Linked DNA regions of Canis lupus familiaris. The protein of the gene in region 1 interacts with the protein of each later gene in a pairwise test. Links are inferred from orthologs where the notes say so. Each region holds a gene or a part of one and is shown on either strand. Other genes may lie near its edges. The genes, in order: AP1M1, TGOLN2 and MTF1.

Region 1 (4,450 bases):
CATTGAGATTTTTAAAAGCTCCTCAGAGGACCCCAATAGGCAGCAAAGCCTGAGAAACCCTGGTCTACCACAGCAGGTCTGGTCTTTTCTGAGATGCTGCAGAGGTCAAATCTGGCTTACACATTAAGTGTAAACGCCAAGGATGACATTCAGATGTGATTTGAATTCCCCACACACACACATGGAAAAAGGAGGATACGAGTCATTTTGTGTAAACGGTTTACCGCGATGGTGCTTTTGGTGCTTGGGAGTCTTCCTCCCTCCAAAAGACTTTTGTCCAATTTGTACTCCTAGCCCTGCCCCCCTCAGTACTGATTTTAAACATCTAAATATTGCCTAGAGCAAGCCTGAAAGGAAATGCTCCATAATGAGAGGGTCACCTCTCCAGGGTGGTTTTTCTTTTTGTCTTAGGCTTTTTGGCATTTCCTTAGTTTTCAGTGAGGTGTATAATTTTGTAATTTTCAAAAGACCTGTTTTCCTACAACATTGAAATAATTTGGGCAAACCATGAGGCTAGGCATAAGAGAGTGCAGTACAAGACATTGTCAAAACTCTCCCAGATGTTTCGTGGAGCCCAGTAGTCTTAAAATATTCCCGTTTTCTCCTCTGGATTTTCTTGCACTTCATCTCTATCCAAAGCAGAGTGTGTATATAATCAAAAGCCATATTTCAAAACCCCAAAGGAGGTAGGAGGGGAAGGTTAAAAGTCGGAGGCAGGCAGCCTGAGTAAATGGGACTGATGCTGCAGGGTTGGGGTCCCCAGAGCATTGTGCTGGTTCCCTGGGACAACGTGGAGGCATTTCCCACAGCCCGAGTATTCATAAAAGCAATGAGATACTCCGCTGCTTCAGCAGGGGACACAGTTGGCATCACCCACTGCAGTCACTACAGAAAGAAGTGCTTTTCTCTAGGATTCGGTGGGGCGTGGTTTTCAGGTCATTCCAGGCAATCAACAGGCACTGACGAGGGTTGACACTGACAGGTGACAGGTAGTGACTGTCGATAAGGCCCGACTGCCATTCAGGGTTGGGCTTCTCTCCGAGTGACCGCCACCTTCCCCTTCCCCCGTAAGGCGCTGTCACAACTGGTAACTTTATTTGTTCCTAGAGTCCCCCACCGGACTCTGAGTGTCATGGGGCTGGGCCCAAGGTGAGTTCCACAACCGGTGCGTCACCTCCCTGGGACCCCGGAGGCGGGGCAGGGTTTCCAGCGGGCCTGGCAGCCAGCGAGTGCGCCGCTTCGGTCGGCCCCGCCCGGCTCCGCTCGGCCAAGCTCGGCCCCGCCCCTCTGGGCCTTACTTCCGGGACGCTTGACGCCGGAGCGGGAAATAAGGTCACATCGGGCGTATCGCGCCTGCGCGCACTCCGCCTCGCGCCTGCGCCTTTCCGGCAGCCCCTCCCCGACCGGACATAACGGTCCGCGCGCGGCTCCCCGGACCGGAAGTGGAGGCGAACTGTCGCGGGGCGCGCCCGGCCTTGCTCAACGCCCGGCAGTCCCCGCCGTCGCCGCCGCCCTCGGCAGCTGCCGAGGCTTCCCGCAGCCGTCATGTCCGCCAGCGCCGTCTACGTGCTGGACCTAAAGGGCAAGGTACATATGGCTCCCCACCCTTCCCGTTGCCAGGCAACCGGTGGGGCCTCGCCCCCTGGGGGGACCCACCCTGTTGCTAGGTAACTGGCCAATGGGACCCACCCTAGTCTTAGGCAAAGAGGCTGCTGGGCCTCACCTGAGGGCCCCACCCTGTTGCTAAGTAACAAGGCGGGGGCTTCGATCCGCGAGCCGCGCCCTGTCGCCAGGTAACACAGCTGCATGACCCCCTCCCCCCTCCACTGTGCGCCGGGTGCTCCCGCCTCGTAGGGGCATCGGGAAACCCGAGGCGGCGGCAGGGACGGGCCGCAGCCGTCCGGGAAGCCAGGACTGGCGCTCAGGGGCTGTGCGACCCTTGGCCGGAGGTGGCGAGGCGTGTCGGGGACAGCGCGCCCTCGGGCCAGCCCCGCCCTCTTTACCCGGCGATTTCATCTTGGCAGTCCCGGCTAGAATTTCTTAACGTTTGGTGTGACACTGAGTTACAGGGTTAAGTGAAGTGGGTGGTGGGAGGGCCATTTTACAGAGGGGGAAGCTGAGGCACAGGCAGGCAACCTGCCCAAGGTCACCCCAGCCATAGAATGGCGGGTCTAGGAGTCAGCTGATATTTGGGGAGCACCTACTAAGTGCTGCACGGGGTGCTTAGTCTTGGGCCACCTTTGGTGAGCAAAATTGGGAGTCGTCGTGGAGCTCGCAGCCTGGTGAGAGAAAGGGACACTGATCTCAGAAAGCACAAATCAATGTCAGTTGCCCTACTAGAGCAGTGAGGTTGTAATAGGAGACTATGCCTGGACCAGGGGTCAGGGAGGGCTTCCGGGAGGCAGTGACAGATCTGAAGGAAGAGTTGCACACGACTAGGACCCAGGTGCCTTTCCCAGGGGACTCTGGGAAAACTTCTTAAAGGAGGGGGTCTCAGAGCCTTTCCAAGTGGGCTGCTGCCTTTCCCCGAGTCCGTCCTGGCTAGAAGGCAAGTGAGTATTGGCCTCTTGATCTGGGAGTCACAGGAACGGCAGCAACAACGCTAACAAGTCCTGCACAGATCCCTGGGAGAGAGGTGGACGTTGGGCCTCGCGGAGCAGGCAGGAGTTAGCTCAGAAGCAGTGGGGAGTGAAGACGTGAAGTGGCTATCCCTTCCTGCCCCCACTCCCAGGGTACCCCACCCTAGCACTTTCCGAGAGTTCCTTGAGTGGGTCGCCTGCTCTGGATGCCACCCAAAGTCAACAGCTAGTGAGGCCCAGTGCTGGGCTCCCTTTCCCAGCCCTCAGGCAAGGGAAGACACAGGGCACCCCAGGGGCTGAGTGTGTGCAGCATTCCAGAGTGCCTGGAACTCCTGTTCTTCCTTCCACCCTGGCCACCGTGTCCGCAGAGTTCCCAAAGGCTGCCTTATCTCAATCTCTCATTCCTTGAGCAAACATTTCATGAGCACCTTGCATGCACCAAGCCCAGTGCTGACTACCTCACTGTGACTGTGCAGGTAGGGCTGAGTTCAAAACCCATCTCTGCTGCTTAGTTGTGTGACCTCAGGCAAGTACCTTTTCCTCTCTGAGCCTTGTTTTCCTCACTGCTCGCACAGGCTGGTTATGGTGTTATTGGACAAACTCTCTGAGCGAACGTTTGAGACAGGCTAGCACCTCGCATGGCCCACGGTCCTTGTTAACCCCATTGAGGACCTCAAGGTCTAGTAGGGGAGACACATGGAAGCTGGCAGATCCAAATGATCAGATCTAGGTAGATTGCAGGGGCATGGACACAGCCCCAGGTAATACAGTTGCCAGCCTCAGTTTTGGCTGCAGATGAAAAGCAGTTACAGAAGTCTTCCTGGAGGAGGGAGTTCGCCAGAGCTGGGAGCAGACCAGGTATTAGGTGGGCCAGGAGGCATCGCAGTTGGCCCGAGGGATCAGAGCAGCCTGCTGGGGCTGGCAGGTGAAAACCTGGGTAATGCTGGAGCCTAGAGGGTGACACCAGGAGGGCCATGGGTGGTTGAGAATGTCCCCATGGGTATGAGAAACAGAGAGGACCAGTGTGATCCTGGAAAGGAGGAGATTGTAGCCTGGGAGGAGCATGAGCAGACCTGCCTTTTGGGAAGCTCCCAGGGCAGCCATGGGCTTGCCTCTCATCCCCAGCAACCATCGTGCTATTTATTACTCCATTCCCCATGGACCTCAGGTTTTGAAAGGACCTTTTGTGCAGACTATATTTAATAAAAGGTAAGGTAGTAGCACAGTAAGAAATTCATGACCACAAGCCAGCCAGCCAGTGCCTTGGATCACCAAGGAAACCAGCATGGCCATGTTGAGCTGCTAGAAAGCCCTCCACCGACACTTTGCCCTTATCTTTCTTGTTTCTCTGCAGCTTCTGACACCACTGCCACACTCCTCAGTGGGCTTCCATTGGCCTCCTGAGGCACTGCTCTCTCTCGTTTTGCCCCTTTCTGTCACCGTCTCCTGGCCCCTCCCCTGGGATGTTGGCTCCTCTGGCTTAGGCCTATGGGTCCCACCCTCACTGTCCCTCTCCTTGGGTGGGTTTTGATTCAAGTCAGTGTGCAGGGAACTCAAGTTTGTACCGTAGTCCACAGTACTCACCTGGAGATCCATTGTTCTCAGGGACATCTCGGAGGTCCCACAGCTGCCACAAATCTGGCATTTCCCAAAATGAACTCGCTGCCACCCCAGGCCTGCTCTCCTCATCTCAGTGAATGACGCCACTGTCCACGTGCCTGCCCTCATTGGAGACCTGGGTATTATCCTGGCCTTTTTCTCCTCACCACCACGTTCACTCCACAAACATTCCCTGAGCACCCCCTGGAGTCAGGCTCTGTTGTGGATGCTGGGACATAGCCCTCAACAAGTTGGAAGTGGTCCCTGTTCTT
Region 2 (4,567 bases), on another chromosome or scaffold:
TTTATTCATGAGAGGGAGGGGGTGGGTTGGGCGGAGAAGCAGGCAGAGGGAGAAGCAAGCTCCATGCAGGGAGCCCAACGTGTGACTCAATCCTGGTCTCCAGGATCACACCCTGGGCTGAAGACGGTGTTAAACTGCTGAGCCACCCGGGCTGCCCTGGTACTACATTTGTTAATGACCCCGGCAGTGAAAGAGCCGCAAACTCACAAGAGGCATCTTTAAATTATAACAGTTTTCAGGAGGACGGGGCCTCCAGTTACATCAGAATCTTTTATACTGCTAAACAGGAAATGACAGATGAAGGAAGACTATTCTGGCCGTTAGCCTGTGGGAGTCTGGATGATTTACTCAAGAGCACAAAGATCTGCCAGCTGTGCCCCACACAGCTCTAGGATCAGACATTCCTTTTCTCTCACAAGCAATAATTATTTCTTATCTGCAAATGTACTTTTCCTCCCCACACCTTGCTTCATTTTAACCTTACTGCTTTTACATCTAAGATTACTCTGTGGGACGAGCACTTGGATGTAGAATAAAGAACTATTTTTACTAAATATCTTCCCTCATTCCTCATAGCCATAGGCATACTGATATCATAAACTGAACTCTCCAATTTTAACCAGGCTATAGAAACTACTAAATTCTTAGAGCTAGCGGGATCCCTGGGTGGCTTAGCGGTTTAGTGCTGCCTTCACCCTGGGGCGTGATCCTGGAGTCCAGGGATGGAGCCTGCTTTTCCCTTTGCCTGTATCTCTGCCTCTCTGTGTGTGTCTCTCATGAATAAATAAAATCTTTAAAAAAATAAATTCTTAGAGCTCAATAAGAAATGCAATCATTTGTCATCAGAGTGGTTGCTAAGCAACACAGATATTACTCCACACCAAATCTGCTGTAACATTAAAAGACGATTGTATCCATGCAATTTTTGGTCATTCTTCTAATCGGAAACTCAACCGATTGTAGAAGATAGTCCCTGGGCTCTCTGCTGCTGATGTCAAAGACTATGTAACCACTCTTTCTGCCATTGCAGATGCAAGATAAAAGTGTGGGAAAGGAAACTAGAAATGATGCACTATCTTCAGAGTGGAAATAGGAAGATAAGTACTCTACTTACAAACTGTCAGGTACTCAGATTCTCGGAGGCAGTAAAATGATCTAAATTTAAGATTGTGGGAGAAGACCCCAATTCAGGTCAGATCATAAAAATGTCCTCATTTGGCACCTAACACAGCAGCAGAGGGCACTCAAAAGAATCGGACATGAAAGAAAATGATTTATAAAATGAGAGTAAAGAGACCTAGCAGAATCTGAGGAAAAACTGAAGTTTGACTTGAAATCTCCAGTGCTCACAGGCAGATGAATGACAGATATTGGCCCACACACCAAGCTTTCAAGGTGGAGGAAATCTCATTCCTCAAGACAGTTCTTGACTTACCTTCCGTTTATTGTGATAGGCAATATAGAGGACAGCAACAAGAATGGCTGCAGTCACCAGATAAGCAAAGAAGTGGCTGCTTTCTGCACTAGCACTTCCAAGACTGTCCTTATAAAGGTCATCATTCTGCCTACCCACAGAATCCAAAAGTGTCCCTTCACGGTTCTCACTGGAGGCAAGGCCAGGCATTTCTTTCTCTCCTTGGAGTGGTGAACCTTCTTCAGGCTCCGTATCCCCTTCCTCAGCCTTCTTGGGTTCCACATCTTCGGTAAGCTCTATAGACTTGCCTTCTCCCTCCTGCTGTGAAGTGGGGTCAGAGTCCAGTAATACTCTCTCCTCAGATTCATTTTTATAATCATTCAGAGTGGGATCTTTGTCGGCTGGTATGTTTAAGTGAGGCTTGGTGGGCTTCTTGTTATCAGAAGAGGGGTTAGAGACCAGCTTGTTGGAGTGGTCATTCAAGGACTGCATCTGGGACTTCACCTTGCTAGTGCCATCTCCTGTGGCCTGTGGCTTGGGCTTCTCATCGTCAGGGTCGTCTCCCATAGAGTGTGGCTTGGGCTTCTTGTCAGGGTTGTCTCCCATGGCCTGAGGCTTGGGGATCTTGTCAGAGTCATCTCTGGTGAGCTGTGGCTTGGGCTTGTCAGGGTCGTTTCCTGTGGCCTCAGGCTTGGGCTTCTTGTCAGGGTCCTCTCCTGTGGCTTCAGGTTTGGGCTTGTCAGGGTCGACTCCTGTGGCCTCAAGCTTGGGCTTCTTGTCAGGGTCCTCTCCTGTGGCTTCAGGCTTGGGCTTGTCAGGGTCGACTCCTGTGGCCTCAAGCTTGGGCTTCTTGTCAGGGTCCTCTCCTGTGGCTTCAGGCTTGGGCTTGTCAGGGTCGACTCCTGTGGCCTCAAGCTTGGGCTTCTTGTCAGGGTCCTCTCCTGTGGCTTCAGGCTTGGGCTTGTCAGGGTCGACTCCTGTGGCCTCAAGCTTGGGCTTCTTGTCAGGGTCCTCTCCTGTGGCTTCAGGCTTGGGCTTGTCAGGGTCGACTCCTGTGGCCTCAAGCTTGGGCTTCTTGTCAGGGTCCTCTCCTGTGGCTTCAGGCTTGGGCTTGTCAGGGTCGACTCCTGTGGCCTCAAGCTTGGGCTTCTTGCTAGGGCCGTTGTCTCCGGGCTGTGGCTGCAGCTCGCTAGGCTCTCCTGTTGGGGCCACTGAAATAGAGAAACCAGTTCGCTCTGAAGAGAGGAAATCCGGGAGAAGGGAGCCCTCAGAGCTAGAAGAGACCGAGGCAACAGGCAAACGGGGGAGGTGGGTGATGGCAAGCGGAGGGGTGGCTCCGGCAGGGAAGAAGCGGGTTCAGAGAGCGACCCGGCCGCGGTGAGGACGGTGGACCTAGGGATGATAGTAGGATTATTGGGGGTGGGGTCTTACCCGCCACTGCGAGGCTCAGCAGGGCCAACGCAATCAGGAACCGCATCCTGCACTTACTACTCTTCCGCTCTCTACTGCTCTCGCGACATCCGCGCGCGCACTCTGGGCGCTCATAGCCCCGCCCCTTCCTGCGCTCGTCCTTCCGCCGCACGCCCAGGCGAGGGGAGGGGCCTCGGCAAGGGCGGGAGAGGACGGTGGTTCTGCTCTCGCTGGGGCCGGCGCAGCGTCCCTCGGCGCAGGCAGCTTACACCTTCTTCCTTTCCCAGGTCCACCACGAGCGTCAGTCCCCTTTTCCTTCTTTGCCCTTGTATTTCCGAGACAATTTTGGCAGAGCCAGAGCTCCCTAGCCTGCGGATGGCCCCGTGGGGACTGCACTCGCTGGGACCCGGCGCCTGGGCTTCAGACTGCTCACCTTTCTAACCTCTCTTTTCTCATGGTTCTTTGCTCGTAGCACACAAACGTGTTGCGCTCAGGTCTCTCCCATCTGGAAACAGAAACTGATCCCGTCACCTTTGTAGCGGGAGCCTTCCCAGTCCAGTTCCTCTCTTTCCTGACCCCGCGGAAACTGCTCTCCGAGGTCTCCCCAAAGGTACATCTTTTTTCTGGTCATGAAAGTTCTTCACAGTCATTATAGAAGATTTAGTGAGCGTATTTATAGAAATAGAAGACAAAATCTTTGTCCCATTCTTCCGGGATAATCACTATTAAAGTTTTAGTGTGTTTTCTGCCTTGCAGACATTAAAAAAGAAAAAAGACTTTATTCGTTCACGAGAGACAGAGAGAGAGAGGGGGGCAGAGACATAGGTAGAGGGAGAAGCAGGCTCCTCACAGGTAGCGCGATGGGGACTCAATCCCTCAACCCAGGATCACGCCCTGAGCCCTGAGCTGAAGGCAGACGCTCAATTGCTGAGCCACCCAGGCGTCCCTGTCTTGCAAACATTTTAATATATTTGGTTTGGTACATTCTAATGGTTCAGTAAAAAAAAGCTATACATGAGAAAGTTCTTGCTCCCTACCATTCTACAGTTACCACTTAGTTTATTGTGTTTCTATGTAGTGTTTTATTTTCTAGTGTTTTTTTTTTTTTAACACTTACGTATGTACTTATTTTTTCCTCCGTCTTATATTGGTGTATTTTTTGTTCTTTTCTATACATATTCATTTTCCTCCAAATTTGTATCATTGGGTAAATAGTTTTGTATCATACTGTTTTTTTTTTTATTTTTTTAAAAGATTTTATTTATTTATTCATGAGAGACACAGAGAGCGAAAGAGAGAGAGAGAGAGAGGCTGAGACACAGGCAGAGGAAGAAGCAGGTCCATGCAGGGAGCCTGATATGGGACTTGATCCCGGGTCTCCAGGATCATGCCCTGGGCCAGAGGTGGTGCTAAACCGCTGAGCCACCAAGGGATCCCCATATCATACTGTTTAAAGTACTGTTATGTTTATACATTAATGGCTGCTTGAAATCGTTTTATAATCATTTGCCAGGTTAGGTGCTTAGTAGAGAGTAGTTTTAAAAATGATAGATCCTAACTTAAGAGTGTAGATATCTCCCAGGTGAAGTTGAAGAGAAGAGGATGAGTTCTCCCTTCAGCATGTGCGAAGGCCTGGAAGCAGGTGGGAGCCTAATATTTTGTGGAAGTCTAAAGATGAGAACAAGATTGCTAGATAACAGAGAATAAGGAAAATGGCAAAGGATGGGTCTGGAGCAAAGCCAG
Region 3 (3,831 bases), on another chromosome or scaffold:
AGGCCCAGAGAAGTTAAGTGACTAGATCAAGGTCACACAGCTCATAGGTGGCAGAGCTGGGATTTGAGCATAGACAGATTGATTGGTCCCAGAGCCTAGGCTGCTGACTGCTACCTCGTATTGCCAGATGAGAGGTGCAGAGTCGAGGCTTGTTGGGTGGCCATACAGGTCAGGTGAGCCTTGAGGTATGAGGATGATATAGGTGGAGAAAAGAACATATTAAGTAGGAGAATGTCTGGGTGAGTGTATGACGCTGTCAAACTGGAAAGTAGTTTAGGGCTAAATAAAGCATTTAGGTTCCATAGATCAGGTGCCAGCCACCTCTGGAGGCCACCTGGTTTCATGTTTAGATAGAGTCACTGGAAAGGCCTTTTTGGTGTTCTAATCCAATCTGCTCTGTGTCATTTTAATAATTGTTTCTTGGACCTGCCCTGGGGAGCTGCATGGAGCAGGTGTCTTTCCTTTTCCATATAATTCATTTTGTGTATTTAAATAGGGGTCTCATTTCTCCACCATTATTTTGTCATGTCAGCTCCTGTAACTTAGCCAGAAGCTTTCATATTCTTTCTACACTCAGCCTAGAGATGACTTTTCTCCCTCTTAAAGGGATAAAAGACAAAGCCTTTTTAAGAAAATACTTGAAGAAAGCAGAAATTCTGTAGCCAGTGTAACAGGAGGTGTTACCACAGTGAAAAAGGATGATCTCTGGGCCTGACGCTACGGTCCACCTCATAATAACATAAATAGGGCAAGAGGCTCACCGCATGCCGCAGGTTCTACAGGCATCCTCTCATCCACCCTCACAGGGGCCCTCTAGGAGGTCCTTTGGTTATCATCCCCGTTTTACCAATGAGGACACTAAAACTCTGAAGAAGTCAAATCATTTGCCTGGCCTTTACAACTAAGAGGTGGCAGGGTGTGGACTTGAGTCCAGGGCCCACCCTGGAGCTACTACCCTGTGTGGCTTAAAGCACACCGCTTGGGGCCTTCACGGGACTCTTGTGCCAGTGAGAGGAAGTCTTAGCCAGTCCTTAGTGTGCCACTGGATCCTTGAAGAGACCGAAAAACTTTCCAGCCTTGTGGAAGTATTGGGGTGTGGCAGCACTGGAGGGCTTTTAGGGAAGCTAGCCCTGGGGATCCCTGGGAGAAGACCACAGCTTGAGCAAGGCAACCTTGGTGGAGCCTTTGAGCAGTCAGAACCTACCGGAATGGGCAGCTGGGAGACAGCCAAGTAGTAGGAGACAAAACTGGCTGCATCGTCAGCACTGAATGTCAAACAGTGCAGTGACCTCATGTCAGAGCACAAACAAAACATCACTCAGTGCAAAAATCCTTGAACACTGAGGGTTTTCTGTCCTCTTGACTAGTACAATCGGGCAGGCTTCAGGTCTTTGGAGATCTGCCATACTTGAGTGGCTATAAATTGTGATTCCTCTTTTTTTCCCCCAGCAGCAAGCATCTAAAGTTGAGAAGGTGTTCTTTACCACTGCAGTACCAGTAGCCAGTAGCACAGGTATGTAATTGTGTGTTAGCCTTCAAAGAAAGTGAACTCTCTGGGCCCCTTAGGGCACAGTTAATGGTTGCTTTGCCCCAGATTTAAAAAACTCTAATTTGTCAGATTGTAATGTTTATTTATTAGAGTATTTCACATCTTCACAACTATTGGAAGTTAGCGTATCTACGGCATAAATGCTATATTTAACATTCCTTAAGGAGCAATGGTTCTTTTCTTCTCAGATATAGCTTTTAAATGTAACCAGAAGAAAGTTTGACTCGCAGTTAATGCCAAAGAGAGCAGCTGTTAATTCTTTGGACTCTTTTCTAACTACAGTAATGAAGAAATAGCATGTGGGTCAGAGACTCATAGAGTGAAATGTGCCTTTTTTTTTTTTTTTCAAACTATTTTATAGATTAAGAAATGGGGCCCTGAAGACTTAAATGACTCGTCCAAAATTGTCAGTGAGTTTGTGGCAGAGACAAAGCACTAGTTCTCAGGTCTCCTGATTCCCACTCTGTTCTTCTGTTCTCCTGTTCTCTGGTCTCTAACTTTTTTTTGAGACACACAAAGCCTGTCTGATTTCACAGTGGGACTATGCAGAGCACACACACACGCACAGAAGAGCAGGAGAATGTGCATGAGCGCAAGGCTGACCGTGTACAGGGGGATTCCCCCCACCAACCATGTGTCTGAGCCTGGGGATGGGAGCATGAGGCTCTGGAGGAGCTTGGTCTCAGGCAGGCGAGACACAAGCCCCAAGTCCTACCCTGTGTGGAGAGAGGTGCGAAGGGAGGCAGTAGCTCCATGCATATGGTTGGGAAGCTCATGGGCCCATGGGCAGCTCTAGGTGTTAGCCTGCTGGAAGCAGCATCAGGAGAGGAGGGGATGAGCTGGGTCTTCAGAGAAAAGAAGAGGAAGTTCTCCGGAGAAACAGCCCTGTCTGGGGAGTTTAGGCAGAAGCAAGAGCTCATAGGCCCAGAGGTATGAAGAACACATGTCAGGGAAAGGGACACATATGCTGTGGCTGGCATGGAGGGGACAGGGCAGAAAGGCTGGAAACGAAGCTGGAAATACAGGGTCATCTAGATGGTGTGCCTGGCTCTCTAAGGACAAGGGACTTTGGCGTGGAGGGGATGGGGAGTGTCAGGCAACACAAAGCCTGGAGCATGGCATCCTTCCTTGTCACCATTCCTGCCTCCGAGGCACTCGGCACTCCCCTAGTCTGTACCCCCATCCCTCACGCCCCTGCCTGCGGCTACTTGAGGAGCAGTGTCTCTTGCCTCTCTCGCAGGGAGCTCTGTACAGCAGATTGGCCTCAGTGTTCCTGTGATCATCATCAAACAAGAGGAGGCGTGTCAGTGTCAGTGCGCGTGCCGGGACTCTGCCAAGGAGCGGGCAGCAGGCAGGAGGAAGGGCTGTTCTTCCCCACCCCCTGCAGAGCCGGGCCCCCAGCCTCCTGATGGGTCCAGCCTGAAGCTACCACCGCAGACTTTTTCCTCGCCCCCTGGCCCCCTGTCGTCCTCCTCTGCTGTACCCTCTTCCTGTGAGCAAAGCAGACGAGCAGAGACTCCTTCAGACCCTCAGACAGAAACGTTAAGTGCCATGGATGTGTCAGAGTTTTTGTCCCTCCAGAGCCTGGACACCCCGTCCAATCTGATTCCCATTGAAGCACTACTGCAGGGGGAGGAGGAGATGGGCCTGACCAGCTTCTCTAAGTGAAAGGGGGCCGCCTGCGCTCACCTCCAGCAGAGGAGGCCGAGCGGGAAGCAGAAAGTGTGGTGCCTGCCATCAAGGGGGGTCAGCAATTCGAAGGATGAAGAAATCTACTGTTTGAAATCCTCACCTTTCAGACGTATTTTCTTTAGTCATATCCCAGGAGCATCCATTTTAAGGAACTGATCTTTGGAGAAAAAAAAAAAAAACCAACAAAAAAAAAAAACAAAAAAAGCTAAGTTATAAATGAACTGTTTGGCTGCACTGTATGTCACTTTTGCTTATTGTCATGTGAACTTGGAAATTAAGGTTACTCGTATGCATAAACATTCGAAAAGAAAGGGTGTGGATTCCATCAGTCTGATGCTGCCCATCACTTGCACTGGGGTCTTCGTGGTTTGGGCAGCAGAGCTCAGTGGGTCGGCTGTCCCTCTGCCCTGTGCGACTTTTGAGTCTAAGGCTGAGGCGGAAGCGGGCACGGGAGGCCAGACCCTCACTCCACCAGAGGGGGCTGTGGCAAAGGCAGGCCAGACAGCTGTGAGCTGGACAGGGATTGGGTGAGGTGGTTTTGTTGTTTGCTCTTGCTGTCGGTGGAGCTCAGGGGGACTCTGGGACTCTGG

Evidence for each region.
Region 2: the proteins of AP1M1 (region 1) and TGOLN2 interact in a two-hybrid assay, tested with the Homo sapiens proteins (2 studies listed by BioGRID). The link is inferred for Canis lupus familiaris from reciprocal best matches to the Homo sapiens genes AP1M1 and TGOLN2.
Region 3: the proteins of AP1M1 (region 1) and MTF1 interact in binary tests that used the Homo sapiens proteins (3 or more experiments, as listed by UniProt). The two-hybrid records come from large-scale screens. The link is inferred for Canis lupus familiaris from reciprocal best matches to the Homo sapiens genes AP1M1 and MTF1.

Annotation. Positions count from the first base shown.
Region 1 is NC_049241.1:46,698,267-46,702,716, reverse strand, and holds the start of AP1M1 (AP-1 complex subunit mu-1), read left to right. Parts: upstream 1-1,420; 5' UTR 1,421-1,545; coding exon 1,546-1,587; intron 1,588-4,450. UniProt on the Homo sapiens protein: Subunit of clathrin-associated adaptor protein complex 1 that plays a role in protein sorting in the trans-Golgi network (TGN) and endosomes.
Region 2 is NC_049238.1:40,036,351-40,040,917, forward strand, and holds the start of TGOLN2 (trans-Golgi network integral membrane protein 2), read right to left. Parts: upstream 3,033-4,567; 5' UTR 2,892-3,032; coding exon 2,846-2,891; intron 2,626-2,845; coding exon 1,436-2,625; intron 1-1,435. UniProt on the Homo sapiens protein: May be involved in regulating membrane traffic to and from trans-Golgi network.
Region 3 is NC_049236.1:4,785,522-4,789,352, forward strand, and holds part of MTF1 (metal regulatory transcription factor 1), read left to right. Parts: intron 1-1,449; coding exon 1,450-1,513; intron 1,514-2,789; coding exon 2,790-3,217; 3' UTR 3,218-3,831. UniProt on the Homo sapiens protein: Zinc-dependent transcriptional regulator of cellular adaption to conditions of exposure to heavy metals. Binds to metal responsive elements (MRE) in promoters and activates the transcription of metallothionein genes like metallothionein-2/MT2A.